Ovis aries: one gene and its partners. The protein of the gene in region 1 purifies or fractionates together with the protein of each later gene. This does not show direct contact. Links are inferred from orthologs where the notes say so. Each region holds a gene or a part of one and is shown in the gene's direction. Other genes may lie near its edges.

Region 1 (10,008 bases):
TGCTGGCCGAGAACCCGGACATATTCGCCGTGATCATCATTCTCATCCTCACAGGTACGGTCACACGTCGGGTGCATCGGGAGGGGGCTGGGAGTCTGGAGTGAGGCTCAGGCTCCCTCCTTTTCTCTTCCTCCCATCCCCCCGTTTTCTTGTCTTCTTTAATTGATGCAGACATCTGTTGTGTTTTTTGTTTTTTTTTTTTGTCAAAATGGCTTCTCAGAGATTCGCAGAGGGTTGGCCTATTGAATAGGTCAAGTTATGCGCTGTTTAATTAAAAGAGACTCTCAGGTGTTTGCTTTAAGTGTTTGTGAAGTAGGATTTTGTTAGGGCTTCGGGCTTTGTGTACAGGTGACCCAGGAATACAAGTTCTTCTGACTCAGCGGATGACCATTTAGAAAGGAGAGTTGGCCTTCGTCAGCCAGGACGACATGGAGGAACCAGGCCCGATGCTCGCTGCACCTTGGGGTTGGAGACAGCTGAGGTGGTTTGCACCCAACCAGCCAGCAAAACACCTCCTTATATCATGAAGTTTCCCCACAAAGTTGCTGGTACAGAATTTTAAAATTGCAGACAGGGTTTGAACACAGCTGATGGTATCTTCTTCTTAGTGATGTTGACCTGAGTCTCTGCCACCCAGTTGGGAGTTTTGTTAATGTACACATTAAGCTTAAATGCAGATAAATTTTCTTTTGAGGTTAGAAGATTTTGGATGGGTTTTAAAAGCATCGGTGCCTTGTTTTACACACCTAATTACACACGTAATTGAGATCGTTCTGCACAGGGCCAGTCTCAGCGGTATGTCTGGTCCAGCTAGCAGGAACACAGATCAGAAATTAAGTATTCACGAGTGAGATTTTCATAAGGACAGGAGGGAGGGAGGCTGAAGAACAAACACCGCGGAGTGTGAAGTGTTCCCTGAATTGCTCCACGCCCTTCTAATGCCTGTATTTCAGAAATCAGTCTATGACGTAGAGCATCTTTTACGTTAGAACGCGTAAGAGACACGCAGTCAGATCGGTGGCCCCGTGCCACTGGGCGCCTCCCTGACTCTTTGCTCCCCTGGCCGAGGGTGCACCACAGAAGTGTGTCCTGCATCCCCCAAGGCGGACCTGCAGCTTGCGGAGCGTCACCTGTGCTTTTTCACCCAGTATTTTTTTTATCTCGAGTTTTCGAGGTAGAGCTGGTCTGGCTCAGACGTGCTACGTGCACTGAGTCCCAAGAAGGGGACTCTGTGGCAGGGCCCCCAGGTGGTTGTCGCTGCGGACACTGCTAACACCCCACAGAGCATCTGAATGATTCCATGTCTAGAGAACTCTTTTTTTCTCTCAAGACACTGAACAGAGTGTCTCCTTGGAGGAAATGAACTCCTACCCACTGGGTGGTTCTCAGTGATGGAGATTCAGGGAGAGCCTCCCTTCATCCCAGGGAGGGCTTTGCTATTGAGGGGAGCCATTGGCTCAGACGTCCCCAGCCCTGCTGTCCCTGGGGTGCTCCTGGTTGTTGTCTCAATTCCACAAGGTGGCTGGAAGTCCAGCCCTGATGGCTTTGTTCAACACCCCGTGGACTTGGGTTGTTTTGATCCCTGCCTCTAGGATGAGAGTCACTGCAGCCTCGTTCCTCTTTGGAGGTTTAACGCTGCTCAGATTCTTCTAACGTCACCTTCTCGTCCCCAACCCCCACCCCAGAGGGACTTGCTGGCCCGAGGTCAGCACTGAGGCCGTTTCTGTCTATGCCCTTTTGCAGGACTTTTAACTCTGGGTGTGAAAGAGTCAGCCATGGTCAACAAAATATTCACGTGTGTCAACGTTCTGGTGCTGGGCTTCATCATGGTGTCGGGGTTTGTGAAAGGATCAATTAAAAACTGGCAGCTCACGGAGGAGGACTTCCAGAACACGTCGGGTCACCTCTGCCTGAACAAGTGGGTGTCCCTCTGACTCTGGGCGCCTGGGCGTGGTGCGGCTGGGGCGGACCTTGGCTACCACAACACAGTCCAGAACAGTCTCTGTTAAAAAATGTAATTTGAGCTAGGATATTTTGTCACTACTGAACTGTTTTTTTTTTGCAGTCAGATAGCTGAGGGTGTCTCCTTTGTCTGAAATTTGTGTTTTCTTGCCTTGTATTTGACTGTCGGTTGTACGACATAGGAAGATGCTGGGGGAATAGCGGCATCTCTGGATGCTGATTCCAACCCTGCCTCGGTGAGGACCGAGGTCAGGCTCCCTCAGTTGTCCCTATTTCCCTGTATCCTTTTTGATGATGGAACTCTGAATTTCCTTTTCGGAAAGGAAGATTTTCCTCTGCGGTTCCACACGGATGCTGCTTTCTTTTGAAATGCCTTCCTATCTGATCACCTTGAACAAACAGGTCGGTAGAACTTTTTATCTCAGGTGTTCTTCAGAGTAGTTTCTCAGAACAACTGAGGTTATCACAGCGTGATGATGACAACTCCTTTCACTCTCACTCCACGTGGGCCGCTTCAGCCCTGAGATGCCATGGCCTCAGTGTCCTTCCATATTGGGCTCAGGACGCCCAGGGCTGGAAGCAGGTGACCGGCCAGCTCTCCACCCTGTGCCTTTGCAGGCCTCTGGGCACGCCCTTACCAACAAGCTCACCTTGTTTCGGGAAACAAAAGCAAAACGTTGGAGTGGATCTTTCTGACCTTTTTTTTTGTTGTCAGATTTTTTGATACATGTTAGGGTCTTAGGATGGAGAATGGGGAGTTCTAATTTTATTTACATTTCTGTTTTAATTGTGGCTAAAGGTTAAACTGATGCTTTGAAGAGATCATCCTAAAATGCAGTGGCTTTACAAGGATATCTCAGCTCCAGGAATGATCAGTTGGGGGTGGCTGGCCAGCATGGACACGTGCAGGCTTTCAGGGGCCCGATTGCCCGACTCGCTGACCCATTATCCCCAAGGACACAGTGTGGTCAGAGCTGGGTTGTGGGTGGGCACAGGCATGACCCAGCTCTCCCACCAGGGGCCAGAGTCCGAGGCCCGTGCGCTCAGATCCGGAAGACGTGTTCCTCCTGCCCACATCCCCCTGGCCAGAATCCAGTAGGGGGCCACGTTCAGCTGCAAGAGAGGCCGGAAAGCCAAGTGGTCACATGTTGGGTTGACCTCTGATTAAGGCCTGGTGCCCGGCGTGTCCTCCAATGGCCTGCTCCGTGGGCAGGCACTTATCAGCAGCTGGTTCACTAACTGGAGCGCAGGCAGGAAACGAACCCGTGAAACTAGCTCTAACACCCTGTGGTCAACAGTTCAAACAAAAAGAGCCTGCCTTTTTGGGACGAAACGTGACTACAGAGAATTGAGAGCTTTTAAATTTAAGTCACTCCCCAGCATTCCTGGGTCTTGTTCGTGCCAAATTTATCAGTGCCCGATAATTCATGGCGAAGTAGGGCCAATTTGAAATATGTTTTAGAGTAACCCAGTCGACTCAGGAAGCTTCACGGGCCCCCTCACCAGTCACTGTGAGCCGGTGAAGAATTGAGCGGAGAGGGCGCCTCCTGTCTCCTGGTTGTCTGTCCATATTTAGCCTTTCTACTGGTTTTTTTTTTTTTTTTTTTTTATTTATTTTATTTGGAGGCTAATTACTTTACAGTACTGTAGTCTTTTTTGCCATACACTGACATGAATCAGCCACGGGTGTGTGTGTTTCTCCCATCCATCCTGGATCCACCTCCTTCCCCATGCCACCCCTCAGGGTTGTCCCAGTTTGGTGCATGACACAGGGCATTCATGCTGTTTTGAAGAGACTGTTTCTGCCAGCTGATGGGATTTCCTGTCGCTGGCCATCCCCGTGCTCTGCATCCCTGCGGTGATGACCCGCGCTGGCCTCTGGCCAGAGAGGTGTTTGTTTCCTGGCCCCTTGGCCACCAGTGGGGTCCTGGAGTTACGTCTGCCCACAGCCCCGGGGCCGCTGTCCTGCCGGACGGGGGACGCTGCAGGACTGGGCCTAGCTGCTCGGGGTGGCCGTCAGGGTGGCTCCTCTTCAGGCCCACGAAGCAGGGGCCTGTGACCCTGACGGAGGCTCTCTCTTTCAGTGACACAGAGGAAGGGAAACCCGGTGTCGGTGGGTTCATGCCCTTCGGGTTCTCCGGTGTCCTGTCGGGGGCAGCCACCTGCTTCTATGCCTTCGTGGGCTTTGACTGCATCGCCACCACAGGTAGGTCCACCGCCCTCGGGACACCTGGGCTCGCCTGGCCAGGCGTCTGATTCCCCTCCCCCGGGTGTGTGCATGCCTGCCGCTGCCCATTTGCTCCTGAGTGCCCGAGTGTGGGTTTGCACCTTCCTGCCAATCCCCCTTTCATTGCTCCCCAAGTGGCCTGCCCGACAGGAACTTGCCTGCCTGTCCCGTGTGGGCCCGGGGTGATGGCACCGTGGCTGCAGCTGGCGGCAGACCCCATGTGCGCTCCGGGGGAGTGTGGCTACCTAGTCCGACTTTGTCCGGGCACTCGAGGGGGCCGGGCTCCAGCCTCCAGTGTGTTCTCTTTTCCACGATGACTCTCAGCGAAAAGGCTGAGAGCACCTTCCCTGGGCCCTTGGGTATTGTGTCTGGTCTGAGGGCCTCTCCCCTGGGTTCCCCGGAGCCTGGAAGGGCCCTGGCCCTGCAGGGCCATGAGCTGCAGGGTGGTCTCAAGCCCTCCGGCTGAACTCCTCCCGCCTTGCAGGGGAGGAGGTGAAGAACCCACAGAAGGCCATCCCCGTGGGCATCGTCGCGTCCCTGCTCATCTGCTTCATCGCCTATTTCGGGGTGTCGGCCGCCCTCACCCTCATGATGCCTTACTTCTGCCTGGACAAGGACAGCCCCCTGCCAGACGCCTTCAAGCACGTGGGCTGGGAGGGAGCCAAGTATGCGGTGGCCGTTGGCTCCCTCTGCGCCCTGTCTACCAGGTGAGGGGCAGAGACGCTCGGGAAGGCGGGTGTGCCGTGACCACTCCTCTCTCCCCTTGAAGTAGAGCCCAACCCAGCCCCGATCGTGGGACTTCTCCCCTTGGGCTGCTCTCGATCAATCCCTGGGGCTGTCTTTGCGTTAGGGACGTTCATCTCAATAGCCTGAGGCCCACATTTCATCATTGTCGGCTCAGCAAGGGCTGCGTCTCTTGTCCCTGACTGTGGCCACTGGCCAGACCAGGCCACCTCTGTGAGCACTGCCTCTGGCCCTTATTTTGGCCATAAAGCAGAGGCTACCATTGAAAAGGAGCAAGTGCCGCAAACGCCTTTTAATGAGAGTCACTTTGCTCTCATGCTCCCTGCTAGCCTGTACACACAGGAAACCGCTGTGGACTTCAGGGAGATCTTCATGAAGGCAGTGACGTTTTTCTTTTTGATTCAGCTGGAGATAATCGCGGGAATAAACGCAGAACATCTCTTCCATAGCACTGTGTCTAGATGCCACGCTGGTTTACGCTAGGCGTTTCCCACTCACACACACGTGCAGACTTGCTGCAAGCGCTCCCCCGGGCCCGGCGTGTCGCGCCGCGGGCCTCCCAGGTTGGAGCCGGCTCCCTCTCCTGGGTGTGAACACCTGTTGCGATGCCTTTATTCTCCCAAGCTCTCTTACGGACGCAGTTCGCTTTTCCTCCCATCTAGTCTTTTAGGTTCCATGTTTCCCATGCCTCGAGTCATCTATGCCATGGCTGAAGACGGGCTGCTGTTTAAATTTTTGGCCAAAATCAATGACAGGACCAAAACACCGATAATCGCCACCTTAACCTCGGGTGCCATTGCCGGTAAGAACTGGAATCTCCTATCCAGCATTTTAACGGCTGAGTTATTACTCCCTAAGGCAATGTCTTGGCCTGTGCCCGTCTGAGAGAAGTTGCGACTGGTCTTTCTAACGTTTGGTTTTTACCCTTGGAGTCTGGTTTGTCGCAAGGTAACTGAGTGCCTTTTGACAAAAGGCAAATGCTAGTTTCTCAGAGGATGTAATGGAATTCTCAAACAGGTCGCATTTTCCAGTGATTACCGTCTCACTGGACTGAGCTCGGCATGTACACTGTCCCTTCAGAGCTGTGTCTTGCCCCTTCCCCAGGTGTCCCTGAGTAGACCTTGGTGGGGTAAAGTCCTTCACAGTATATCCCCTGTCTTGTCGGTGCTGGAAATTCACCGTCCGTGTGTCTTAGCTCGTGAATTCTCTAGGAAGCGAGAATCCCTTACGATCAGCGTTTTATAAAACATGCCACCTCTTCCCCAGGGGACACTGAGGGTGTGTCTGGGGTAGCCCTCCGCCCTGAGCCTATGAACAACAAATGGCAGGAGAGAGGAGGTGGAGCTGACGGATCGCTATCAGGTCCCTCGCCAAGAGGACAGAAGGGAGCGGCGGGCTGGGGAACCCTTGGGCCTCTGTGTGCACCTTGAAAGGCAGGGCAGCCCTGGAAAGAGACCCTTGGTTTTGTTTCCTCTTTGAGTCGCGTTTCACCGCCCAGAGGCAGGTGCACAGAGGAGAGGCGGAGGCTCAGAAGGGGGAAGTGAGGATGCACGCCCAGGGAGGACAGCAGTGGTTCTCGGTTCCTGGTTTGTCTTGGGGCCAGGCTGGCTGGGCCCTCCCAGCCCATGTGTGGAGCAGGAGGTCTCTGTGGTGAATGAGGACACGTGCCAGCCACAGCTGGATCACAGGGACTTGTCAGATAGCCACAGGGGAGGCGTTTGACCCTCTTGATGAGTGAATTGTTAACAGCATTCACACCCTTAGCAAAATGTGCTTACTTTTATGGGTCAATGTTGTTTAACGAAAGGAAGCCAGTTTTTCTTATTTCACACGTGTGCTGTATGAGTCTGCATTCTCGAGCATGATCGCTGTGGGCAGGTTAAGGGACACCGTGTGTCAGTATGTGACCCATGTGTTTAAGGGATTAAGGAACTGGAAATAGTGAGTGTTTTTTCTTTTTTTCCTCCAATATTCACATGTAATGTGATCGTACTGAAGACTGGCCTTAATTTCCTTCCTGTGCTGATTAAGGGAGATGAAACTACAGTCTTTAAAGCCACTGTAAAGTTCTTGTATCACCAGACCAAGGGTTTGCTTTTTCTTTATTTGGTCAGAGTGATATACAAGTCTTTAGTTTTCTAAGAATCACCTCCCATGGGCGAAATTTGGCTCAGGTTTCTCGGAGTGAGGACGTAAGCATTTGATACACACGCAGTGGGTTTTCTGATTATCCAGTAGGCCCTCGCTGCTCTTTAATTCTGTTAGTCAACCTCAATTTGAATTTGTTTTAGTTGCCATGGTTTGTGTGGGTTTGAGAAGTATTTGTGGAAAAGTAATGGCTTTGTGTTTATATTTCAACTTGTGTTGATTGCATGTGTTTTGAAAGTATCCCAAAGTAGATCCAGCCAAGTTATTTTTTAAGTGGGAAACTTGACACATATATCCCCATAAACAGACGTGCATACACTTATAAAAATCTAGGAACGATTTTCAAAAAAGACTGCATGTTTTGCTTTGCGTTAAGTGGGGTTGTGGTGAAGGGACTGGTATTGTTTGGGAATACCATCACTTTCCATGCCCATATTCTGGGTTAGGAGCCCCTGTCAGCCATCCCGGACTTGCCCTCACGCAGCTCCTCATCATTGTTGCCTCCTGATGCAGGCCTCAGGTGGTATTCTTGGGAAGACCAAAGTTCAGCGGCGTACACCTTGCACCCAGTGACTGGCGTGCTCATGAGAGCCATTGAATGGTGGATGGGTAGATGATGGGTAGGTGGTGGATGGGTGGTGGATGGGTAGATGTGCGTGTCTCTCTGTGAGTCTGCATGGTGTAGAGGAAGGCAGACTGCCCCAGAGCCGTAAGAACCTAGCTCAGTGCCTGGCTTTTCCACTTACTAGCTGTGTGCCCTTACTTAGGTAAGTCTCTCAACATGTCTGGACTTGGCTTTCTCCATCTGTAGTGCAGGGAAGGCTGGCAGAGTTGCCATGGGGGTCACCAGGGTCATGTTGATAAAAGCTCTCTCTCTGTATAAATGTTGTTTATTGTTACTGTCTGTTGGGAGCTGTGTATGTGGTTTAATCCGGAACTTTCCTTCCTTTTAAGCGGTGCTGCCACGTTTCTTCATGGAAAGGGCTGGCAGGGGGAAGGGGAGGCCCTCCCAGGTGCCCTGGGTCGCGGGCGGGTGGCGGCTCTGGCTGCCACGGTGTTCGGGCCCACACCCATCCTGATGTTCGTCTCCTCCTCCCCAGCGGTGATGGCCTTCCTCTTCGACCTGAAGGACCTGGTGGACCTCATGTCCATCGGCACTCTCCTGGCTTACTCTCTGGTGGCTGCCTGCGTGTTGGTCTTACGGTAGGTGTGGCTTTCTGGGTTCCAGGACAGAAGAGCAGACGTCCTTTGCCAGCTTCCTGCTACCAGTTCGTGTTAACGGTTTATACGCTGTAAACTTGAAGCTGTGGATCATTCCTTTGGGAACGGCTTGGGAGAGGGTGGGACCTGGTGCTTGAAAGTCTAGTTACAGAGAATAGCCTTGAAAGGAGTCCGGGGTGGCTCGACCGCTCTCTCTCTCTCTCTCACATGCTCTGATTTTTCTGGCTGGATGTCCGGAAGACAGAGACAGGTTATCAACTTGATGGCTGGGGGCTGCATCTTTGGATCGGAATTTTTGAAGGCTGAGGGTAACGATCTCAGTTTGGACCGGAGACTAGGGCCTGGCCCTAGTGGGCACTGGGAGAACTGGGGACACTGATGCTTCCATGGAGGTGAGAGGGCCGTTACAGGGCCTGGAGGGCTGGGGGTGATGTGCAGGAAGACTCTCCAGGTTCTGCTTTGAGTCTCGTCCGGACAGGGCCAGCCCCGTGGAGGGCCGTGACAGCAGATCCGGGCCGGGGCTCAGTGTCCTGGGGCTCCTGCCCGCCACAGCGCCCCTCTCTCCACGCTCACCCTGCTCCAATTTTCCTTTGCTCTGGGAGACAGGGCTCTGCTTCCTTGCTCCCAGGGGTGACCCCAGGTAGCATAGACATCCAGTGTGGTCTCCTGGCGAGAGGCCCCCCCTACTTTGCAGGGCTTTAATCTTGCCAAGCCATGGATTCCATCCCTAACTTGCTCTCCAGCTACCGTCCCTGGGCTGAGCCTCAGTAGTGGCTCTGGAGAATCCGCTAGAGCTAGTGTTTCCGACCACATATTTCTTCCCAAGAGCTCAGTGCTACAATCTTCTCCGAGTCTCCCCCAGCCTTCTTATTAAGTGAATCAGTGAAAAAAAAAATGGTGAAGTATCTTCATACTCACTCTTAGATTCTATGCAGAAGAATGCATAAAGCACTGCATGTTTTGAAGCTGGTGGAGGAGATTGGAGCGCTGTTCCTTTTGGCTGGGAAGATAAGGAGCCTCATTTAGAATGAATGCTTCACTTGCAGGTGGCTTGTGTCTTGGAAATCACGCCATAGGCTTGGTCCTTCACCCAGCTTTAGAGAGTTATTTATCCCAAGGCACTTAGAGTTTTTAAATAAATTGATCCAATGAAATCATGCAAATAGAATTTCTCAAATCCATCAGCCTGCAGACACGTTTCTCTGGCTCTCTGCATGGATTAGGATCCTAATATGATTGCTTTCTGTTTCTATCTGTATTTTAGCTTCCTACAACTGTAGTTTTGTTGTGAGTGGCCTCATATCTTAAGGGCCAGTGCTGCTTTTCAGAGTGAGAGAAACGATCTCAGCACCTTCCTCTGGGCTGTTTCATGGTGGAGGTCAAGTTGCCTCAAATAGGAGACATAAAAAGAAGAGGATGTTGCCCTGAGGCAGGAGTGAGGCCCAGGGCTCTTCTGTTTCTGTTTGCGGAGAGTTAGTGGTAAAGAACCTGCCTGCCAATGCAGGAGACATAAGAGACGTGGGTTCGATCCCTGAGTCGGGAAGGTTCCCCTGGAGGAGGGCATGGCAACCCACTCCAGTATTCTTGCCTAGAGAATCCCATGGACAGAGGAGCCTGGTGGGCTGCAGTCCACAGAGTTGCAAAGAGTCGGACACAACTGAAGCGTCTTAGGACACACGCATGTATCATTCTGACCATTTTCTTCC
Region 2 (10,108 bases), on another chromosome or scaffold:
CTCATGGGATCGTAATCCTTGGTTTTATTCTGGCATTGACTGAGCACCTACTGACAGGTAGAGTGAACATGCGAAACGTACTTGAGTCTGATGACATCCTGATTCAAATACCAACTCAGAGCAACCTTACTCCTGAACAGGATTAATTACCACTTACTTCACTTCCCAGAGTTTGGCTTCCCTGGCAGCTCAGAGGTTAAAGTGCCTGCCTGCAATGCGGGAGATGTGGGTTCGATTCCTGGGTCGGGAAGATCCCCTGGAGAAGGAAATGGCAACCCACTCCAGTATTCTTGCCTGAAGAATCCCATGGATGGAGGAGCCCGGTGGGCTACAATCTACAGGGTTGCAAAGAGTCGGATACGACTCAGCGACTTCACTTCACTGCACAGAGTTTGGAGGATTAAAGGAGAAAAAGTACTGAAAGCATGTAGTATCCTGTCCAGTACACAGTGAGTACTTAATAAATGTTAGAATTATTCCTTCCACTGTGAAAACAAAAACACTCTATATTTAAATCATTATAATAGACATGGGTTAGAGGTAAGTGTAGGGGAGATAGAAGGTATCGTTAATTTCATGAATGAATCTTTTTTTCTACCATAATTCATTTTTTCCAGACTTGAGGCTTTGACTCAAATAAGAACATCAGAACATATTTTAAAGCACTTTATGACAAAAGGCTAAATAATAGAGGAGAGTTCAACTACAAATTACACCCACCCATCTTTTTATTACATAAAACTAACTGAATAGCATTTAAACGTACACAGTAAGGTCAAATATTACATTTTATTTTTTGTTTTACTGTTATTATTACTATTTTTGGCTCTGCCACAGTGCTTATGGAATCTTAGTTCTCCAACCAAGGACTGAACAGCGCCCTTGGCAGTGAAAGCACGGAGGCCTGGATGACCAGGGAATTCCCCTAAATTTTATAATAATTAGCCACTCTTGTAAGAAAGACATGGATTTTAAGGACAGGGTGGGATAACCCTGACTGGGTAACTACTTAACAGTTTACAACTTTCTCCAATTTTAAGTAGGATTGACAGGCTGAGAGACTATGCGTTATTCATTTATTTTTCTGGTGTTATTGAGTTCTTTAAAAACATGAGGGTTGTTGGTGGAGAAGTTGTAATAACTATAATGCAACATTACCCCTTTGGGCAAAAGTCTGGTATTGCTATACATTTTACTACACTTACACATTCACATGATTAGTTGTCTCTTTACTCAGAAAACTCACAGGGTTCTCACATAGTAATTCTGAAAAGACTCAAATCTGAGATAAAAGTAAATACATGGGTTTACAGACTAGCCCCAAGAAAACAAGTATCAGAAACATTATGACAAGCCATAATGACAAGCTCTTACAAGGCACCAGATACTTTGTAAAGTGTTGCTAAACACTTCACATCATTATTTCATTTAATCTTATCCTCCTATGAAAGAGGAGGTATTATCCTTACCTTATAAAAGAAAAGAAAGTAAAGTCCCTCAGTCGTGTCTGACTCTTTGCGACTCCATGGACAGTAGCCTGCACCAGGCTCCTCCATCCATGGGATTTTCTAGGCAAGAGTACTGGAGTGGGTTGCTATTTTCTTCTCCAGGCAATCTTCCCAACCCATGACCCAGGGATTGAACCCAGGTTTCCCACATTGTACACAGACGCGAAAGGCACCAGCGAAGGTATAAATGAGACCAAAAGAAATCAACAACAGAAACTGCTCAACAGACACATAGAATCATGAGAAATCATTATTTTAAGCCACTATAGGGGGTGCTTACACAGCCACAGATAATCAAACAGTTAAAGAGCTAATGAGATCGGAAGAAGTCAACTTGAAATGTTACTCTATCTTTTCATGGTGGTGAATACAAATTATCTAAGACTGACAAAAAATTCTTGAGTACAAAGTTTAGATAGGGGTCTTCCAATAATTTCTAAGGCACCAAATGACTGAATAATGAAGTATTATAAAGTTAATGAGAAGAATCCACCTTTTATGTAAGGCTGTAAAAGTAAACAGGCAAGATCTTTAAACTCCTTAATGAAAGAAAAGCCCAGGTGTTTGCGGAGGCCTTCCGTATAGACCCTCAATCCTCCAAACCTTGAATAAATTAATCAAACCAGATTTCTAGGAGAATACTCAGCAGACTCAATACAGAGAACACTTGAAAAATTAGGCTGATAAAAGACACTTGTAAAAACTCCAAGTATGATGCCTATTAAAAAGTTTTATTATTCACAGTTGAACGAACTAAAAACTTATAATAAGTCGTTTGTGAGTGAATAGGAAAATAAGTCGAAACTAGCCTCTTCCCATTCAAATATAAAGAAGGTATCTCTTCTGTTAATGGATAAAAACGAAAAAAAAAAAAAACTTGGTTAGACAACGATCGATTTTAAGCGAGATGAAAGCTATCATTTTAGAAAATCAATTTCAAGAATAAATTATGTTTTAGTATGGCGTAGTTCCTTTTATTGCAACAGAGTTGTTTAAAAACCACAAATGATACTGAGGTGTACCCAGCGGCCTGTGAGTGCCAGAGAACAGAGGTAAAAGACTAAGAGTGACTTACAGGGACCACAAACAAATGACAAAAAGAAGTAAAAAGGAAGTGTACCCTGGACCAAAGACTTGAGGGCTTTCCTCTAAGACTTGAAAGGAAGCTTTGTCATAAAGACGACAGTTCCTTGCATTTCTGCTAATTTAAAAACAATCTTCATTTCTTTGCAAAACTTAGTGCCTTTCCCGCCCCTCACCCCTCGCTTTTACGGTGTGTCTTACAGACTGTATTCAAGAAAGTCTCAGGTCAGAAGAAGGAACTGCTAGAAACCCAGGGTGGGGAAAGATAATCTTCAAACGCGGAATAAAGCCACGTCGCACGCCAGCAGCAGCAACCGCTGGGGGAGCCCACCCGTTTCAGCTGTGTTTCCCAAAAGCGACCGAATATTCCGTCTTCCTTAGCGCAATCCCTGTCGCTCGCCCTGGGGCTGCAGCAGAGGTGACCTCCACTCACCGTTTGAAGCACGGTCGCCAGCAGCAGTCGCAGCCCAAACGCCGGGCCAAGCCATCCATCCGGCCGGCCCGCCATCTCCGCCACCTTCCGTAGGTCTCCGGCTGCCGAGAAGACCCCTCTGCTAGGGGCGTCTACTCCAGTGCCTGATCCAAAACAGGCAGCTAAAGGCCGCTGCCATCAAGCCTCTTATTCTGAGGAGACGGGCATTAACTACGGGCATATGTAAGCTTAAAGGTGAGCAAAAACTTTACACTTGATGTAAATATGAAGTCACTGGGTCCTTTCGCTAACTCACATCAGGCATCTCCCTAAACTCCTCAAATCTGTGCTTCCCGGGCTCCTTCTTTTCATTCACGACATTTCCTTAAGCAGTCAAGAAGCCCCGCCTTCGCCAGTTTCGGCCTGCCTCCTTCTCCAAGTTTACCCAATCGAGTGCCGATTTGGTTGACACCTACGGCAAAGGAAACCAACCGTGACACGCACCAAGAGCGAAGCGCTGGAGTTCTTCGGCCCAATAAGCTCAACCGAAAGGGAGTAGAGGGCGGAGCCTCTGGTTGCCGAGCAGCGTACGTGGAGGCGTGCGCGTGGAGGCGGAGAGGGATGGGTAAGGGGCGGGGCCGAGGGCGGCGCAGCCGCAGCCGCAGCGCTGGCGGAGAAGCGCGCGTCCGCGAGCGAAGGAGGGAGGGAAGGAAGGAAGAGAAGGAGGCGGTTAGGCAGGCGGGCGCGGGGGTCGGGGACTGAGGCAGTAAAAGGAGGCGAGAGCCCGGCAGCTGCTTCGCTCTGTGTTTGCTGCACGGGCTTTTGGAGGGAGTCGGCCGTGGAGTCGGTCGAGGAGAAGCGGGCACCGGCGGTGTTGCTGCTGGCGCCTGGGGGCGGGGGACTGGGGACGCGAGAAGGGGGGTCGCTGCAGTGGTTCTCTCGCTGTCGCGCTCTTCTTGCCTTTCTCCCGGCTCCGTGGGCTCCTCCCGGGGTCTCCCTCGCCCCCGGGGCCCCGATCCCCGCCCCCCGCGGTATGTCTTGATCCCGAGCAGCGGGTTTCATGGGGCTCCTCAGGATTATGATGCCGCCCAAGTTGCAGCTGCTGGCGGTGGTGGCCTTCGCGGTGGCGATGCTCTTCTTGGAGAACCAGATCCAGAAACTGGAGGAGTCCCGGTCGAAGCTAGGTGAGGAGCCGGGTCACTCCGGGCTGAGTGGTGTGTGGAAGGGGCCAGGCTGGGGAGGCACTGCAAGCCAAGCAAGTGGGCGTTTATCTAACCTGATATCTGGCTTGGAGGCTGGAGGCTGAAAGAGAACACAAGCCGAATTCATTTGGTGTGAATTAAGCTTGGGTGGTATGCTGGGCTCACGAGGTCAAGGGGCAGAGGTTGCAAGGTTGGACTTTCCCGAGCCAAAGGGATACCCTGAACTAGGCATTTCACGGGGAGAAAGCAAGAGAATATCGAATTCGTTGGGGAGTCAGTACCGACAGTTGGAGGAGACCGTAACGGTCAGGCTTGCCTGTTCTCTTGGAAGTCAAACGGAAAGCTCCAGCAGTGTCAGGCAGGGGGTTTTCTAATTTGAGATGTGGGCACCTGGATACTGAATCTTTTGGGAATGGGGAGGTTCGCGAAGGGACAGATGGGCTGAAATGGAGGGGAGATACTGGAATGATGGTGTGTAAAAGAAATACATTGTAGTGAGTTGCACTCGTGCTGGGGGCAGCAAGGGACCGCGCAACTGACGAGAGAAATAGACTGTCCAGGTAGGACAGAAAAGCAAATAAAAAGCTCGCAAGAGGTTCTGAAACGAGGTAACCAGGCATTTAAATTCTTTTTTAGTGGCGCTAAACTGGTATTTTGAGCTTAAGAAAGGAGTTGTATGTGCATGTTGCTTCGCGGCAATGTTGGTGTAGTGAATTTAGAAGGGGAGGAAACGTTGAGGGGGAATTGCTATAATGAAATTTAAAGTTAACGAGAGGAAGAGTGCAGCAAGTTTACCGTATGGCTAAGTACCTTAAAGAGTTAAAAGATGTTACTTTAATTGGGGGGTGATCTGAAGTACAAAATGTTGGAGTGTGCTGTTGTGAAAGACCAGACGAATGCACAGACAAGTACTTTCAGAGCAGTAAGGAACTGTGGCATTTGGGAAGAGTGAATGGGGAGGGAGTGTTAAAAGAATGTCAGCAATACATTTTGATTTTAAAATGTACATGGCGCTTAAAAATCAGCCCAAGAGGCTGTAATTTGGATATGGAAAATAATGTTTAGTAAGTGTATTTTATACACTTTAACTGCCGCATCATTTAAAATAAGTTTTGAAATGCAAAGGATAAAATAGAAGCTTTATAATTTAGACTCAGAAGTAACGTATGCTGCTGTGATGATTAATGTTTTGGAAAAATCTATCAGAAAATAAGTGTAATATTACAAATAGTAGCTAGCCATTTGCAATTTTGATACTTTGAAAAAAGCACTGGAGACAATTTTAAAGTGCAGTTTATCAAAGAACATCAAATAAATTAACAAGTGCAAATAAATTTGAAGATAGGGACAATTCCACTCTTCAACTCTAAGGTAAAACTTGCCCTGTATAATTTTGAACAGATATCAAATTTATTTTCTATGATTTTATTAATATGTATAGTATACGATGGAAAAATATTCACTTTAAATTTTCAAGGTTGGCCAGTATACTCTTTTTGTTTGTACCCGATTAGCAGCATTCATGGTCATATTCTAGTCTGGTTAATGATCCAGCTTTACAGAAAGAAAAGACTCCTCCTCAAGAAAGTTGAAAGTTATATTAAATTAAAATTTATATTTATTCTTTGTTGTATTGCTCTTTGAATTTCTTATACATATTATGGTGGCTGGGATAACTTCAAATTTTAATTTTCCTTCCTTGTCTAACATTTTTTCCCATAATAATTTAAATTGTTTTCTGTAGGCACAACCTGAATGATTTTTAAAATGTAGGAAGCCAGAGGTAGTGGCTCGGTAGATAACATGTTTCTTTAAGACTTTTTACAAGAAAGAAACTCTTACATTTTGTTAGAAATAGTAAATATGGAATAAATGAAATAATTCTTGAAAAGGAGTCTCGTACAAAAAGCTGCTGGTGCTGCTAAGTCTCTTCAGTCGTGTCCAACTCTGTGTGACCCCATAGACGGCAGCCGAGTAGGCTCCTCTGTCCCTGGGATTCTCCAGGCAAGAATACTGGAGTGGGTTGCCATTTCCTTCTCCAATGTACAAAAAGCTAGAAGGAGCTAATAATAGAGATGTGGAATTGAGTGAGTGATAGTTGCTAAGTCATATTTGACTCTTTGAGACCCCGTGGACTGTAAACCTGCCACACTCTTCTGTCCATGGAATGCTCCAAGCAAGAGTACTGGAGTGGTTGCCATCTTCTTTTCCAGATGTAAAATTATGACAAATAAAATGTATAGCTTCACATCAGCAGTCTTTTGACTTAAAAAAAGTCTTATGAAACGGCCTGTATTAAAGCAGATGTCAGTAATCTTCCTTAGGAAAGGAACATAGAAGGAGACATATTTTGACAATCAGACTCTGTACTAGACCCTTTCATATTTGCTATTCTTATTTGATCTTCCAAGAACACCATAAAAAAGCCATTTTTACAGATGTGGGAACAAGTTCAAAAGTTATATAAGTTGACTACATACCTAATAAGTGGCAAAGTCAGTATTGGAACCCAGGTATGTCTGATTTCAAATCAAGTTCCCCTTTAATTATACCAGGCTGCATGGGACTTTATATTGACATTACACTAAGATGTAGTGGTTTGAATAGAATTTTTAAACTAGCACCAATGTTTAATTGCATTTATTGCTAAGAATGAATATCATTCTTAGAAAATTCAATTTCTGACACAAAGGAATTAGGTTAGTGTAATGTCTGTTGCTTGTTTATACCCATGTAATGAACATAATTGTATTATCTAATGAAAGGACTGAAATAGATAGCTTACTTTTGCTACGGGGGGAAAAAAAAGATTGTCGTTTTCTGTACGTGTAAAATCACAAACAATAAAAGCATTTTTATTTTGCCATCAGAAAAACTTACACAGTTTTCACTTTTCAGAAACTTTAGTCGTGTCATCTGTCACACAGAATTTTGACTTAAAGTGTTGTCAAATTTATTACATTTTGCATTTATGGCTTAAAAAAACCCTTAAACATCATTAAGTATATCAATAGGAATTCCTAAAAACCAGTGTCTCATAATAGAGTTATTTTTTTTTCCAATGAATATTAAATGACAGTATACGTAATACTGGCTTTGCATCTTGCTTTTTTCATTTAATGTCACAGAACATCTTTCCAGGTCAAAAAATATAAATTTGACTTACTCATTCTAATAGCTGTATAACATTCCACAGTATGCATGAGTCATAAATTCTTAAGCCATTATGTCAATAATGAACACTCAGTTTATCCCCCTTAAACGCTTTTTTTTAAAACTGTTTTATTTCTTGGTATTATAAAAGTGTTACAAGAAACATGCTTATATTAGTTTATTTAATTCTTTATTTGTTGGTACTATTTTCAGTAGGATAAATTCTAATAAGGGATTACTGAGACAAAAGATATATATATATATATTGTAGTTTAACAGATTTTAAAATCTGTTACTTCCCTGAAAATTTATTTCCCAAGGGTTATAATAATCTGTACTGTCAGCATACACACAAGTGCAGGATATTGTCAGCTTTTAATTTTTGCTAGCTTTTAATTTTTTTCTAAAGCTGTGAAATGGTATGTTGTTGTATCAATTTATGTTTCCTTGACTTCTAATTAAGTTGAACATAATTTACTGGTTCATTTTCATGTCTGTTGGGTAGTATTTCATCTTACCAATTTTAGGGTTTGAAAAGGATGTTAGGTGTAGTAATCATTTATCTGTCGTGTCTTGCATCTATTTTTCTCCAGGTCTGTCATTTGTCCCTTGACTTTATGGTGTATGGAAGTTAAAAATTTTATGCAGTCAAATCTCTCAGTTTAGGCAAGTAGGTGCCTTGCATTGCTTGAGGAGTCTTCCCCCAACCAAGATTATGTTATTATTCTCTATATTTTGTTAGTGTTCTACAGCTTATATTTTTATGTTTAGCTCTTTAAAGCATCATATGTTTATTGTAATTTCTCTCAGTGAATGGCCACTTATGGCAAATATTATATTAATAATTCATCTTTTTTTCCCTCCTTTCTATGTTACAGTTCTTGTTTTAGTCACATATTAAGTTTTCATATTTCTTGGATAAATTTTGGACTCCATTATTTTCCACTAATCAGAGATTCTTTTGGTCTTAGGGACTCATATATAGGCTTCAAGGCATCTATGAATTCCCTGAAATTATATACATATCTTTTATCAGATTTGCAAAGGAGTACACAATCCCCTTAATGGTAAGAATCACTGAATTGCAGTAAATGGTTTATATTTAATGGAGTGAGTGTGTTTTTTGTTTTAATATTAACTTATTACAACCTGCAACTCGTGAGTTAAATTTAGGATGCAAGCATATTAATATTAATGTGGGTGTTATATTACAAACTTATTAATGTGGGTATTACATTGAGAAAAGTATTAAAATCTATACAAACTTAATTTTTCTAATGAGGTATAGAAAATAACATGGAGTCAAAATGAAAATTTGCTTAGGTTACTGCTTAGTTACTTAGCTGTTAGAACTCTGGTTGTCAGAATTTGTTGCTTTTTCTCAGTAGTTATTTCTGAATGTCAAGAGCACACTACTGTTAATTTTGACTGATGGAACAGTCAATGAAATTTTTGTTATATAAATGTCAGAATTATGTGGTTGATAACTTTATTTTTTATAGGACCTAAGCATTTAAAATAATATTTTTTGTTCATGTGCTTGTAAGACCACTAAATAAATGAATGCTTTAGGACCTAATGTTTTCAATGAAGACAGTAACTCAGAATGGATTATGTAGCTGTCTTCATTGGTCAAAAGTATGTTAATCTTTTATGTTCTTGAAACTCTCCTTAACTAATGAACCAGCTTTCAGGGCCAAGCTTGGGACTTATCTCTTTGGAATTTGGTAGGTTTTACAAGTGCCACTGTTTTTTTTGTTTAGTCGCTAAGTTGTGTCTGACGCTTTGTAACCCCATGGGCTATAGCCTACCGGGCTCCTCTGTCCATGGAATTTCCCAAGCAAGAATACTGGAATGGGTTGCCATTTTCTTCTCCAGGGGATCTTCCCGATCCAGGCATTGAAACCATGTCTCCTAATTGGCAGGCAGGTTCTTTACCACTGAGCCATCAGGAAAGCCCACCTGAAACCATACATACTTATAAAATGTTCCCAAGAATGATAGATTTCTCTACTTATAAAATTGTTTGCAAAGTTTACAGTAGTTACTGTTTAGAGGACTTGACAGTTTAATTGGAATGCCGTTATTCTAGAATTGCTAATTGGTGTTTCACTTATTAGTCCCAGATAGGATATCTAGTGCCATAGAGTAGTCAGTCAACTGAAATGGTTGATTTCAATTAAAGTGATACTAGGCTGTCTCTCTACCTCTCTAAGCCTTCTAAGAGCTTTTTGGGCACTTAGTGAAATTGAAATAATAAATATTCAAACACTGCTCTCCAGAATGACTACTTTGGAGAGATGTTTCTATAGATGGACTTTATAATCATGGTTCACTATAGTCCAGTTATTTATAATTATCTGGCCAACTATTAGTAACTGTGTTTATGTACTTTGCCATTCTGCCTATTAATTATAGATTAACTGCCTATTGGACCACTTGTGCACCTGATCCTGTTTCCTCATCTACTTAAAGGTGTGGTTCCAGAAGTTTTCCCTCATTCTCCTGTAGTCATCATTTCCTCCCTTTCTGCTGGATTCTTCTCATTAGCATGTAAACATGCTATTATTTCTCCCAACCAAAAACAAAATGATATTTTTCTCTTGATTCCTCTTGCTCAGCCAATGTCTGTTTCATATTTCAGCTTCCCTTAGCAGTAAAACTTAAAAATTGTCTATTTTCACTGTTGCTAATTGCCACAATCACCAGTGACTTCCCTAAGTCCTACAGTTTTTGGTCTTCATCTTACT
Region 3 (10,023 bases), on another chromosome or scaffold:
ACTTGAAAAATCTAAGATGAGACCAGCAGAAAAACCACCCAGCTCTCCTTAGAATCTGGAGAAACAATACATGCATTCAGAATTCAGAAACAGTATATGGGGACTTCTCTGGTGGTCCAGTGGCTAAGACTCTGCACTCTCAATGCAGGGGGCCCAGGTTTGATCTTGGTCAGGGAATTACATCCCACATGACACGAATAAAAGATTTTGCATGTCCCAGTGAAGACCCACCACAGTCAAATAAACACATATTAAAGAAAAGAAACAGTATATGCACTCAGAATTTTGACACATATGGTCTGGGTTACATCATTTTGCAGGCCCCATCAACAAGTGAAAGTCCCTGTCTCCCCACAGTTTTGCCAAAAGACTGGGTTGCCAAATATGAATTTTGTTAGACTTCCCTGGCGGTCCAGTGGTTAAGACTCTGTGCTTCCTCTGCAGGGCGCATGGTTTCCATTCCTGGTTAGGGAACTGGGATCCCACAAACTTTGGCATTCCAGCCAAAAAAGAAAAAAAAAATGTTGCTAATGCAATATATCTCAGTATTATCTTAATTTTCACTTCTCTTACATACAAAAATGAACATCTGCATATTTAAGTTTTTATTTTTTTTGTGATCTGTCATGTTCTCTGGCCATTGTTTTTTTTATTGAACTGTTGGTCTTATCACTACATGCTGCTGCTGCTAAGTCACTTCAGTCGTGTCCAACTCCTAGCGACCCCATAGACGGCAGCCCACCAGGCTCCCCTGTCCCTGGGATTCTCCAGGCAAGAACGCTGGAGTGGGTTGCCATTTCCTTCTCCAATGCATGAAAGTGAAAAGTGAAAAGTGAAAGTGAAATCGCTCAGTCGTGTCCAACTCCTAGCAACCCCATGGACTGCAGCCTACCAGGCTCCTCCGCCCATGGGAATTTCCAGGCAAGAGTACTCGAGTGGGGTGCCATTGCCTTCTCCATTATTACTACATGGAGCTCTTTAAATAGTAGGGAGATTAGCCCTTTGTGTATGATAAGAATTGCAAATATTATTTTCCCAATTTGTCTTTTGATTGTGCTTTCATTTTTTTGCCATGTAAAACTTTTTCATGTAGACAAATATATTAATCTTCTATTTTACATTTTCTGAATTTTTTTATATCCATTGTAGCTCAGCTGGTAAAGAATCTGCCTGCAGTGTGGGAGACCTGGGTTCGATCTCTGGGTTGGGAAGATCCCCTGAAGAAGGGAAAGGCTACCCATTCCAGTTTCCTGGCCTGCAGAATTCCATGGACTGTGTAGTCCATGGGGTCAAAAAGAGTTGGACATGACTGAGTGACTTTCACTTTCACTCTCTAATGTGCTTTTATTTTTTTAATTGAAGTTTGATTTACAATATTTTGTTAGTTTCAGCTGTACAGCAAAGTGATTCAATTATATATATATGTCTGTTTTTTTCCAGATTCTCTTTCCTTATAGGTTATTATAAACTATTGAGTGTAGTTTCTAAATTTTGAGCTGTAGTTAGAAAGGCCTTCCTCATTCTGACTTACAAAGAATTTTGTCCATTTTTTTTTCTAGCATTTTTATGGGGGTTATCCTAACCAGCTGTGTGATGCATCACCTTCAGAATGAAGTTCCAGGCCAAGGTTATGGCACAGGTGACCTGGTGTCATCCACACAGAAAGGAAACAGGAGAAACAAGAAGTTAATTTAGGAGATTCTCAGGGGAGACGATGTGTGGTGTTTGGAACATGGTGAGTTTAAGACAGTCATGGAACTCCAGGAGGGGATGTCCAGAAGGCAAGTGGATTCAGAGGTCTAGAGCTTTGGAGAAAAGTGGGGGCTGGAGATATGGATTTGGGAGCCAAATATGGATGTCGATTAAAGCCATGAGAGACAAGAGGTTCCCAGGTGGCGCTCTAGGGAGTGATTAAGGTCAGGCTGAAGACACATCATGAGGAGAGAGTGGTGGGGGCTTCATCGCTGTAGCCCTTGGGTTTTCGGCACAAAACTAGCCTCAGAGACATTTGAGGGCACACAGAAGCCCTATGTGACCCATGCGTGGATATCTTGGTTTTCGGTGTGTATGTGTGCTTAGTCTTCTAGTCATGTCCAACTTTTTTGCAACCCTATGGACTGTAGCCCGCCAGGCTCCTCTGTCCATGGAATAGTCCCAGCAAGAACACTGAACTGGGTAGCCATATCCTTCTCCAGGGGATCTTCCCAATCCAGGGATTGAACCCAGGTCTCCTGCATTGCAGGCAGATTCTTTACTGTCTGAGCCACCAGGAAAACCCTTGGCTCTTGGGAAGACAGCAAATAGGGAATGAGAGGAGGACCGACAACCTCCCGAGCAGTCTGTTCCCACCCAACAGATGTGGAAGGGAGACCCTATGACAGGAAAAGGGAAGAGACTCGTCTTGCCGTTGGGCCCCACCTCCCCACCAGATGATCCTAAGTAGAGCATTAATAGGTGGTGGCAAGTCCCCCAAGGGTGGGTGCAACACAGGGAGCCACTCCTGGCTGGTGTTTTTCTTGGATCATAGTGTACTGGTTAAGAGCACAGAGTCTGGAGCTTCCTCTCTGGTTTCAAATCCTGGCTCTCATATTTGCTAGTGTGTAACTTTGGGCAAGTTACTTACTGCCTCTGTGTCTTAGCCTCCTCCTCTGTAAAATGAGGACAGTAATATAGTACCAATCTCACAGAATGTACATAAGGATGAAATGAGTAAATTTTTATTAAGTACTTATATCGGTGCCTGGCACACAGTAAATGCTAAGTAAACGTCAATTAAAAAGAAATTGGGCAGACTTCCCTGGTGGTCGAGTGGTTAAGAATCTACCCTGCCATGCAGGGGACACAGGTTCGAGCCCTGATTGGGGACTTAAGAACCCACATGCTGTGGGGCAACGAAGCCCGCGTGGGGCAACTCCTGAGCCCGCAAACTCTGGAGCCCTCCAAACAACCAGAAGAGAAGCCCAAATGCTACAACTAGAGAGTCCATGCACCACAACAGAAGATCCTCCATGACAGAAGATCTCGAGTGCTGCAACTAATACCCAATGCAGTCAAATAAATTAATTAAAAAAACAAAAGAAATTGGGAAATTCTCTGGCAGTCCACTGGTCAGGACTCCATGCTTCACTGCCAAGGATCTGGGTTCCATGGTTCCTGGTTGAGGAACTAAGATACCTCAAGCTGCATGATGTGGTTAAAAAAAAATTCGTTCCTTCATGAATATTTATTAATCAGCTACTATGTGCCAGGCAGTGTTGCAGGTGCTGGGGACATGGTAGTGAATAATTAAGGTGAAAATCCCTGTCCTTTTGGAGCTTACATTCTAGTAGGATGGAGAGGAGGGGTGGAGGCAGACAATAGATAACACAAATTAGCAAAATACATGGTATGTTAGATCCAAGTGAAGACATGAGAGATGGGCAGGAGTTGGCAAGGATCTGGTGCACGGTGGGGCTCAGGAGATGAAAAGAGGAAGAAAGACCCTGGAGGAGTAGCAGCATGGAATCCCTGGCAGAGACACCCGGGCTATTGACATCCTGGGATCCAGGAGAACTAATATTCCTCTCAGCTATTCTGAGACTCACTGAGTGACTTTGGGGCATCCTTCTATAGAAGGTGGGTTCCAAAAGGGCAAGCCATTCTTGTCTGCCCTGTTATATCTCTGGCCCTAAAACAGTGTCTGGCCCATACAATAAATATCCACTGAATGAATAAATGCCTACAGGGTTAGGGTTAGGGAAGTGTCACCAAAAGCCTGAAGCATAAAAGAGAAGACCAGGGAATCATAAGCTTCATCTTCAGTTATATAAGAGGCTAAGACTCTATCAACAAATATTTACTGAGGGCCTAACATGTGCTGGGGTTCCTAGTTGGTTCAGTGGTAAAGAATCTGTCTGCCAGTGAAGAAGACACAAGAGATGCTGGTTCGATCCTTGGGTTGGGAAGATCCCCTGGAGGAGGAAATGGCAACCCGCTCTGGTATTCTTGCCTGGAAAATTGTATGGGCAGAGGAGCCTGGTGGGCTACAATTTGTGTGTGTTAGTCACTTAGTCGTGTCCGACTCTTTTGTGACCCCATGGACTGTAACCCTCCAGGCTCCTCTGTCCACAATCATGCCCTCACTTTAGTAACTCACAGGCCACGATAATATGTAATATTTTTGTGGGTTCCAGAGGGTAGACCCCCAGTGCAAGGTGGGGGTCTGGGGAGGGGGTTGTCTAAGTGACATGCTGCTCAATGTAACAGACTTTTTTCTAAGCCCGAGCTGCCCTGAAATGCCCTGCTCAAAGGTGGTGAGTGCAGCGGGACTGCAGTGTTCAAGCCGGGCGCCAGCCAGCCGCCCACCTGTCAGAAACTGTGCCAGGAGTATGCGGGAGAAGAGAGTTCCGCCTCGGGTGAGGTCACTTCCCACCCCCAGATGCTCTGCCTACAAAATCTCGCAAGTCTCTGACGCTGTATTTTATTCTTTTCTGAATTTCAAGGTCTCATGATGTTGACAGCTCCAAATTCTAAGTCCTCAGTCTGCCCACACTCGCGGACCCAAAAGAAAGGAAGCCGGATTCAGCCTGGGTCCTACCACCCACTGTCTCTGGGGGTAGTCAGCGCCCCCTCCCCGCCTCGCGGGGGTTCTGAAGAGAGGTAACTCGCGCGCGGGGTGCCGAGGACGTCGTGGGGAGATGGGTGTTCCAGAGATGGAGTTGACAGGGCAGAGACATGTGACAGTCGAAGCGTCACGTTCCGTGGTCTGAGAGGTTGGGACCAGGCCGGTCACATGACGCGCGCGGGGGGGTTTGCACTATGGGGTGATGCGAATTGAGAGGGCCTCACAGATCACGTACCAATGACGCATTCCCACCCCTTTTGGCAACTAGATTTCCGCTGGAAGATGCGATAGTTCCGGCAAAGGGGGCGGGTTCTCACGTCCTGGCAATTTCGCTTCCGTTCGGGGCGCTGAAGCTTCCGACCTCGGCCTTTCCCTGGGGTGGGGAAGGGACGCGATCCGGTGCGCATGCTCCAGTCTTTCCAGAGGGGGCGGGGCTGAGGCTACAGGAGAGGGCGGGGGGAAAGAAAAGGGAATTCCAACCTGTGGAATCTTGGGGGTCCCCGAGGTCGGCTCCTTCCCTTTGAAACTGTGAATGGTGCCAGGGACAGAGCCTCTAGCGACTCTTGGGGGAGGGTTTGGGGCCTGCAGGGTGAGGGCGGAGGGGAGTGTCAGAGTGTGAGTTGGGTACGGGAGTTCCAAACTTAGAATCTTGAGGCCCGCCGGGCTCCGGCGCCGGCGAGAGGGATCTCGGGCCGCCATGCGGGACAGGACCCACGAGCTGAGGCAGGTGAGAATTTGGCGCAGCAGGGTTGGGGACGGGTGGACGGGATGGGGTCTACTGGAATGCAGGACTCCTGGTCCTCGGGGCCGGGAGGGATGACTGTGGGCTAGGAAGGAAAGTCCCGGAAGCCCGTGAGTTCTACTGGGGGAGAGCAGTAGCAAGGAAGTGATGCCAGTGACCCCGGCCCTGGCAGGGGGATGACAGCTCGGACGATGAAGACAAGGAGCGAGTCGCGCTGGTGGTACACCCGGGTACTGCACGGCTGGGGAGCCCGGACGATGAGTTCTTCCAGAAGGTAAGAGGCTGGAGTCTCGGCCTGGATTCACGAGGGGCCTGGAGGGCCCGAGGAGCAGAGCAGCCTGGAGCAGCGCCCACATCTCCCTCAGCCCTCTCGGTCATCGTCCCCAGGTTCGGACAATTCGGCAGACTATCGTCAAGCTAGAGAATAAAGTCCGAGAGTTGGAGAAGCAGCAGGTCACCATCCTGGCCACGCCCCTTCCCGAGGAGAGTGAGTGAAACCCCGGGTGCAGAACGCATGCTCAGCTGGAGGCTTGTGGGGGTTGTAGTTCCACACAGGTGGTGGCCAGGGAGATTTGTTGAGGTAGAGGTTGCTATTTGGGCATCATGGCTTTCTCTTGTTTAGGCATGAAGCAGGACCTGCAGAACCTGCGTGACGAGATCAAACAGCTAGGGAGGGACATCCGCGCGCAGCTGAAGGGTGAGCTCCTAGGACTTTAGCCAGATACTTTCCTCTGATCCTGCCCAACTCCTGGTATTTCTGGGCAGTGTGTGGTCCAGAGAGGCCAGTGATATATATCCAGGTCACACAGCAGGCCAACGTCTAGAATCTCCATCTCCTGGCTTTCGGTCCAAAGTTCTTTCCACAGCATATGCCTGCCTCTCAAGTTCCCTTATTTATAATGAAACCATGTCCATTTGATCTTTGTCCAAGGCAGAGGTTAGCGTTGCTACCTCCACCTTCAGGTCGTTATCTGCATATAACTGTATAGTCTGCCGTCCACATCCCAGGTTCTGCAAGGGTGGATTCATGCAGTCATGGATTGTGTAGTACTGTAGTATGCATTTATTTTCTAAAAATTCAGGTATAAGTGGACCCACAGTTGTGCAAGGATCATCTGTACTCCTACAATTCTTGCTGCCCAGTGTGTATTCTTTGGGTGGGAAGATGTGGGTTTTGTTAGGAAGCTTCTCCAAACATGTGGGAATTCTCTGATGTATTTATTGCAAAGAAAAATATACTTTTGCCTGTCAGAGGCTCAAGAGTAGTCATTTATGATGAATTTTATTTCAAAAAAAAAGCTCTGTGGAGATATTGTATCTCTCTCTATTGTATGGCTGCATGGCTGGGTCCCAGTCCCCAAATGAATTTCAGAAGCCAGAGGTCAAACCCCCTCCTCTACCAATACTTCTGTGTCTTTCCACAGCCATAGAGCCCCAGAAGGAGGAAGCTGATGAGAATTATAACTCCGTCAACACAAGAATGAGAAAAACCCAGGTGGGTTCATTATTCCCAGAAGTAGGACATTTCAGCAAGTGTTCAATAGATCATTAGATGGCAGATGTAAGAAGGCAGGGCTCTTAGAGATCATTAAATCCAACCTGATGATTTTCCAAATGAGGAAACTGAGGCTCAGAGATAAAAAAGGATTTACCCCAAGGTCAAGAACCCGGGTTTCCTGACTTCCAATCTGTTATAACACCTTGCCTTCTTCTCCTCCATTCAGTGAGAAGTTGCTGAGACCCCAGACATGATCTGGGCTTGGTTGTAGGAGATATACTTTCTAGAAGCCAAGATGGGGAGTTAAGCTTGCATAGATGACAAAGACATTACTCAGGTAGGACTTGGTAGTTAATGGCTCTGCCCAGGGAAAAAAAGGGTGCAGTCAAGTGACTGGGTGGTTTCCTACCCATGTGATGAGGACATCCTCTGCCCCAAGGACAGAATTCAAGTCAGGAAGAGGAACTTCCCTGGTGTGTGTGTATGGGGAAGGTCACTGAATCATCATCTTAATAAGGAGATTTGAAATGGTCTGAGCAGTGTCCTCTGGGTGCCCAGAGAGGCATGGTTTGGAGTTCTTGGAGGTCAGAGTTGGAGTAGGTGGGCCCAGAAATCAGCAAAGACCCCAGATTGAAGATTAAACAATTTGGGGATTTTTTTTTTAATGGAAGAGAAGGAAAGAGTAGTTTTATTACTTTGCCAAACAAAGGGGGGAACACAGTAGGCTAGTGCCTCAAGAACTGCCCCCCCACAATTTGGGCATCTTGAAAGGGTGCAACTGAACCCAGGACAGCAGATGTGTCCTGGAGAAAGGAACTCCAAGGAATGAGCAGATTTTAGGCATCAGGAAAATGGACAAGCAGGGAAGGCATTTACAGGGGGTGGGGGGCTTGTGGTAGTCATTGTGTGAGAGGCTGAGTGCCCAGGTGGGCCTGCAAAATCTGGGAAATGCAAAATCCTGGCACACCTTTAGTCTAAGCAGGGAGGCTGGTGTTCAGCAAGCATTCCACTAATATTCTTTGAGGGCCTACTGTATGCCAGACCCTTTTCTAGCTATTTAGGAAACAGCTGTCAACAAATGATCTCTATCCTCATGGAGATTTCATTCCAGTGGGGAGAGTCACCATAATAAATTAGTCAATTATTGTAGAAATAGAAGTATTAAGGGAAAAGAGAAGAGGGATTGAGAACAGCGGGAGAAGGCAGGTTCCAACAAGGTGGAGAAAACTTCTGAAGGTGACATTGGAACAAAGACTTCCAGGCTTCTGTGGGGCTTGCGCATTCTGGGCTGAAGAAATGGCAACTGCAGAGGCCTGACGTGGGGCTGTGTTCTGACCAGGGAGGAGTCAGGAGCCCACTGTGATTGGAGGGAAGGAGTGAGGGAGACAGCGTGGGGACGTGGGGACGTAAAATGAGAGAGGGAATGTGGGAAGGGGCGGGTCCTGTAGGGCCCTGTAGTCCCTGGGAAGGGCTTTGGCTTTTACTTTGAGAGACCAGGGGAGCCTTTCAAGGAGGTCAAGGCCATAGGCACCTCTGAGCTCATGCTCTTTGCTCATTGTACCCAAGGGGCTGCTGAGGCCCAGACCAGGCAGGGATCCTCCCAGGGGTCCCCAGCTTCTCTTCTCCCTCCTTAGCACGGGGTCCTGTCCCAGCAATTCGTGGAGCTCATCAACAAGTGCAACTTAATGCAGTCTGAATACCGGGAGAAGAACGTGGAGCGGATTCGGAGGCAGCTGAAGATCAGTGAGTTGTGGTGCCCGGCACACAGGGTCAGCTGACCCAACCGGCTCTGAGCCTGGCCTTTTCCTTCACAGCAAATGCTGGAATGGTGTCTGATGAGGAGCTGGAGCAGATGCTGGACAGCGGGCAGAGCGAGGTGTTTGTGTCCAATGTGAGTGGCCGCCACCAGGCTCCCTCTGCTGGGCCCCCCATCCTCTCTGAGTCCTTTAAAAAAAAAAAATTTTATTTATTCATTTTCAGCTGTGCTGGGTCTTCGTTGCTGTGCAGGCCTTTCTCTAGTTGCAGCGAGCAGGGGCTATTCTCCAGTTGTGGTGCATGGGCTTCTCCTTGCAGTGGCTTCTCTTAGAGCACAGGCCCTACAGCCCATGAGCTCAGTAGTTGTGGTTCTGGGCTCTAGAGCACAGGCTCAGTAGTTGTGGCGTGCAGGATTAGTTGCTCCGCAGCAGGTGGGATCTTCTCCCATCAGGGATCGAACTGGTGTCTCATGGATTAGCAGGCGGGTTCTTTACCACTGAGCCACCAGGGAAGCCCTCCTGGCCCTTTTTCATGGAGGGAATCCTGAGGCCCAGAATGGAACATATTAGCCTGCCTGGCATCCCTCATTAAGGCCTGGGCCCCAGTTCTAGGCCCGAGGGCTGCCCCGAAGCTGAACAGGAACTTCTACACGTGCCGCTGATTTCCTTGTGACCTGTCCCATCGCTCCTGTCCACTCTGCAGATCCTGAAGGACACACAAGTGACTCGACAGGCCCTAAATGAGATCTCGGCCCGACACAGCGAGATCCAGCAGCTGGAACGCAGTATCCGTGAACTTCATGAGATTTTCACTTTTTTGGCCACTGAAGTGGAGATGCAGGTGGGTGCCTGAGGCCGCTGGCTGGGCTTGACCCAGTCCCCAGATGTGAGAGCGTGTCTTGACTGCCAGCCTGCTTCCACACTTAGCCCCTTTCACCAGGGCTTTTGTTACCCTCCAGACTGGCCCTTACTTCCATCCTTAGCCGTGTTCCCAGATTTCATCCTTAGCTACTCAGATGATTACTGCTCTATACCTTGTACCCCATCCCTTGAACTGGAGCCCACACCACGTTTGGCCCCAACCCTGGCTCCTCCAGCAACAGAATCCATTCTTACGCACCTAAGAGCTCTTTAGTTGCCCCCTAGAGGGGCCTGCCTCCTAAAATGTAGACAAGGATGGGGTGGGAGGTGGTATTCTTCCCCCAGCCCTTATCTCATGATAAGGGGAGCTTCCAGCCCCATCTGGGGGGAGCTGACCCCAGTGCCCTTTTGCAGCTGGGAGTCCTGAGGGAGAGATTTCACTCTGTAGGAGTCCAGGATCTGAAGCCTGGTGGTACCATGAGGAGGCAGCGACAGGGAGGGCTTTCCGGCAGCTGGGAGACAGGCCTAAAGAACAAGGGACTTCAGACAGATTTGCGAGGGGACA

Evidence for each region.
Region 2: the proteins of SLC7A1 (region 1) and HS2ST1 purify together in Homo sapiens (co-immunoprecipitation; 3 studies listed by BioGRID and IntAct, counting the BioPlex papers as one, with this or other methods). This does not show direct contact. The link is inferred for Ovis aries from reciprocal best matches to the Homo sapiens genes SLC7A1 and HS2ST1.
Region 3: the proteins of SLC7A1 (region 1) and STX4 purify together in Homo sapiens (co-immunoprecipitation; 3 studies listed by BioGRID and IntAct, counting the BioPlex papers as one, with this or other methods). This does not show direct contact. The link is inferred for Ovis aries from reciprocal best matches to the Homo sapiens genes SLC7A1 and STX4.

Annotation. Positions count from the first base shown.
Region 1 is NC_056063.1:31,273,010-31,283,017, forward strand, and holds part of SLC7A1 (high affinity cationic amino acid transporter 1), read left to right. Parts: coding exon 1-54; intron 55-1,743; coding exon 1,744-1,918; intron 1,919-4,046; coding exon 4,047-4,168; intron 4,169-4,673; coding exon 4,674-4,896; intron 4,897-5,595; coding exon 5,596-5,735; intron 5,736-8,181; coding exon 8,182-8,284; intron 8,285-10,008. UniProt on the Homo sapiens protein: High-affinity, low capacity permease involved in the transport of the cationic amino acids (arginine, lysine and ornithine) in non-hepatic tissues.
Region 2 is NC_056054.1:64,005,326-64,015,433, forward strand, and holds the start of HS2ST1 (heparan sulfate 2-O-sulfotransferase 1), read left to right. Parts: upstream 1-3,675; 5' UTR 3,676-4,063; coding exon 4,064-4,187; intron 4,188-8,329; exon of another isoform or gene 8,330-8,425; intron 8,426-10,108. UniProt on the Homo sapiens protein: Catalyzes the transfer of a sulfo group from 3'-phospho-5'-adenylyl sulfate (PAPS) to the 2-OH position of iduronic acid (IdoA) or glucuronic acid (GlcA) within the heparan sulfate (HS) chain and participates in HS biosynthesis.
Region 3 is NC_056077.1:27,669,653-27,679,675, forward strand, and holds the start of STX4 (syntaxin-4), read left to right. Parts: upstream 1-5,015; 5' UTR 5,016-5,300; coding exon 5,301-5,330; intron 5,331-5,517; coding exon 5,518-5,619; intron 5,620-5,732; coding exon 5,733-5,832; intron 5,833-5,967; coding exon 5,968-6,042; intron 6,043-6,544; exon of another isoform or gene 6,545-6,769; coding exon 6,770-6,840; exon of another isoform or gene 6,841-8,477; coding exon 8,478-8,586; exon of another isoform or gene 8,587-8,657; coding exon 8,658-8,734; exon of another isoform or gene 8,735-9,300; coding exon 9,301-9,438; exon of another isoform or gene 9,439-10,023. UniProt on the Homo sapiens protein: Plasma membrane t-SNARE that mediates docking of transport vesicles. Necessary for the translocation of SLC2A4 from intracellular vesicles to the plasma membrane.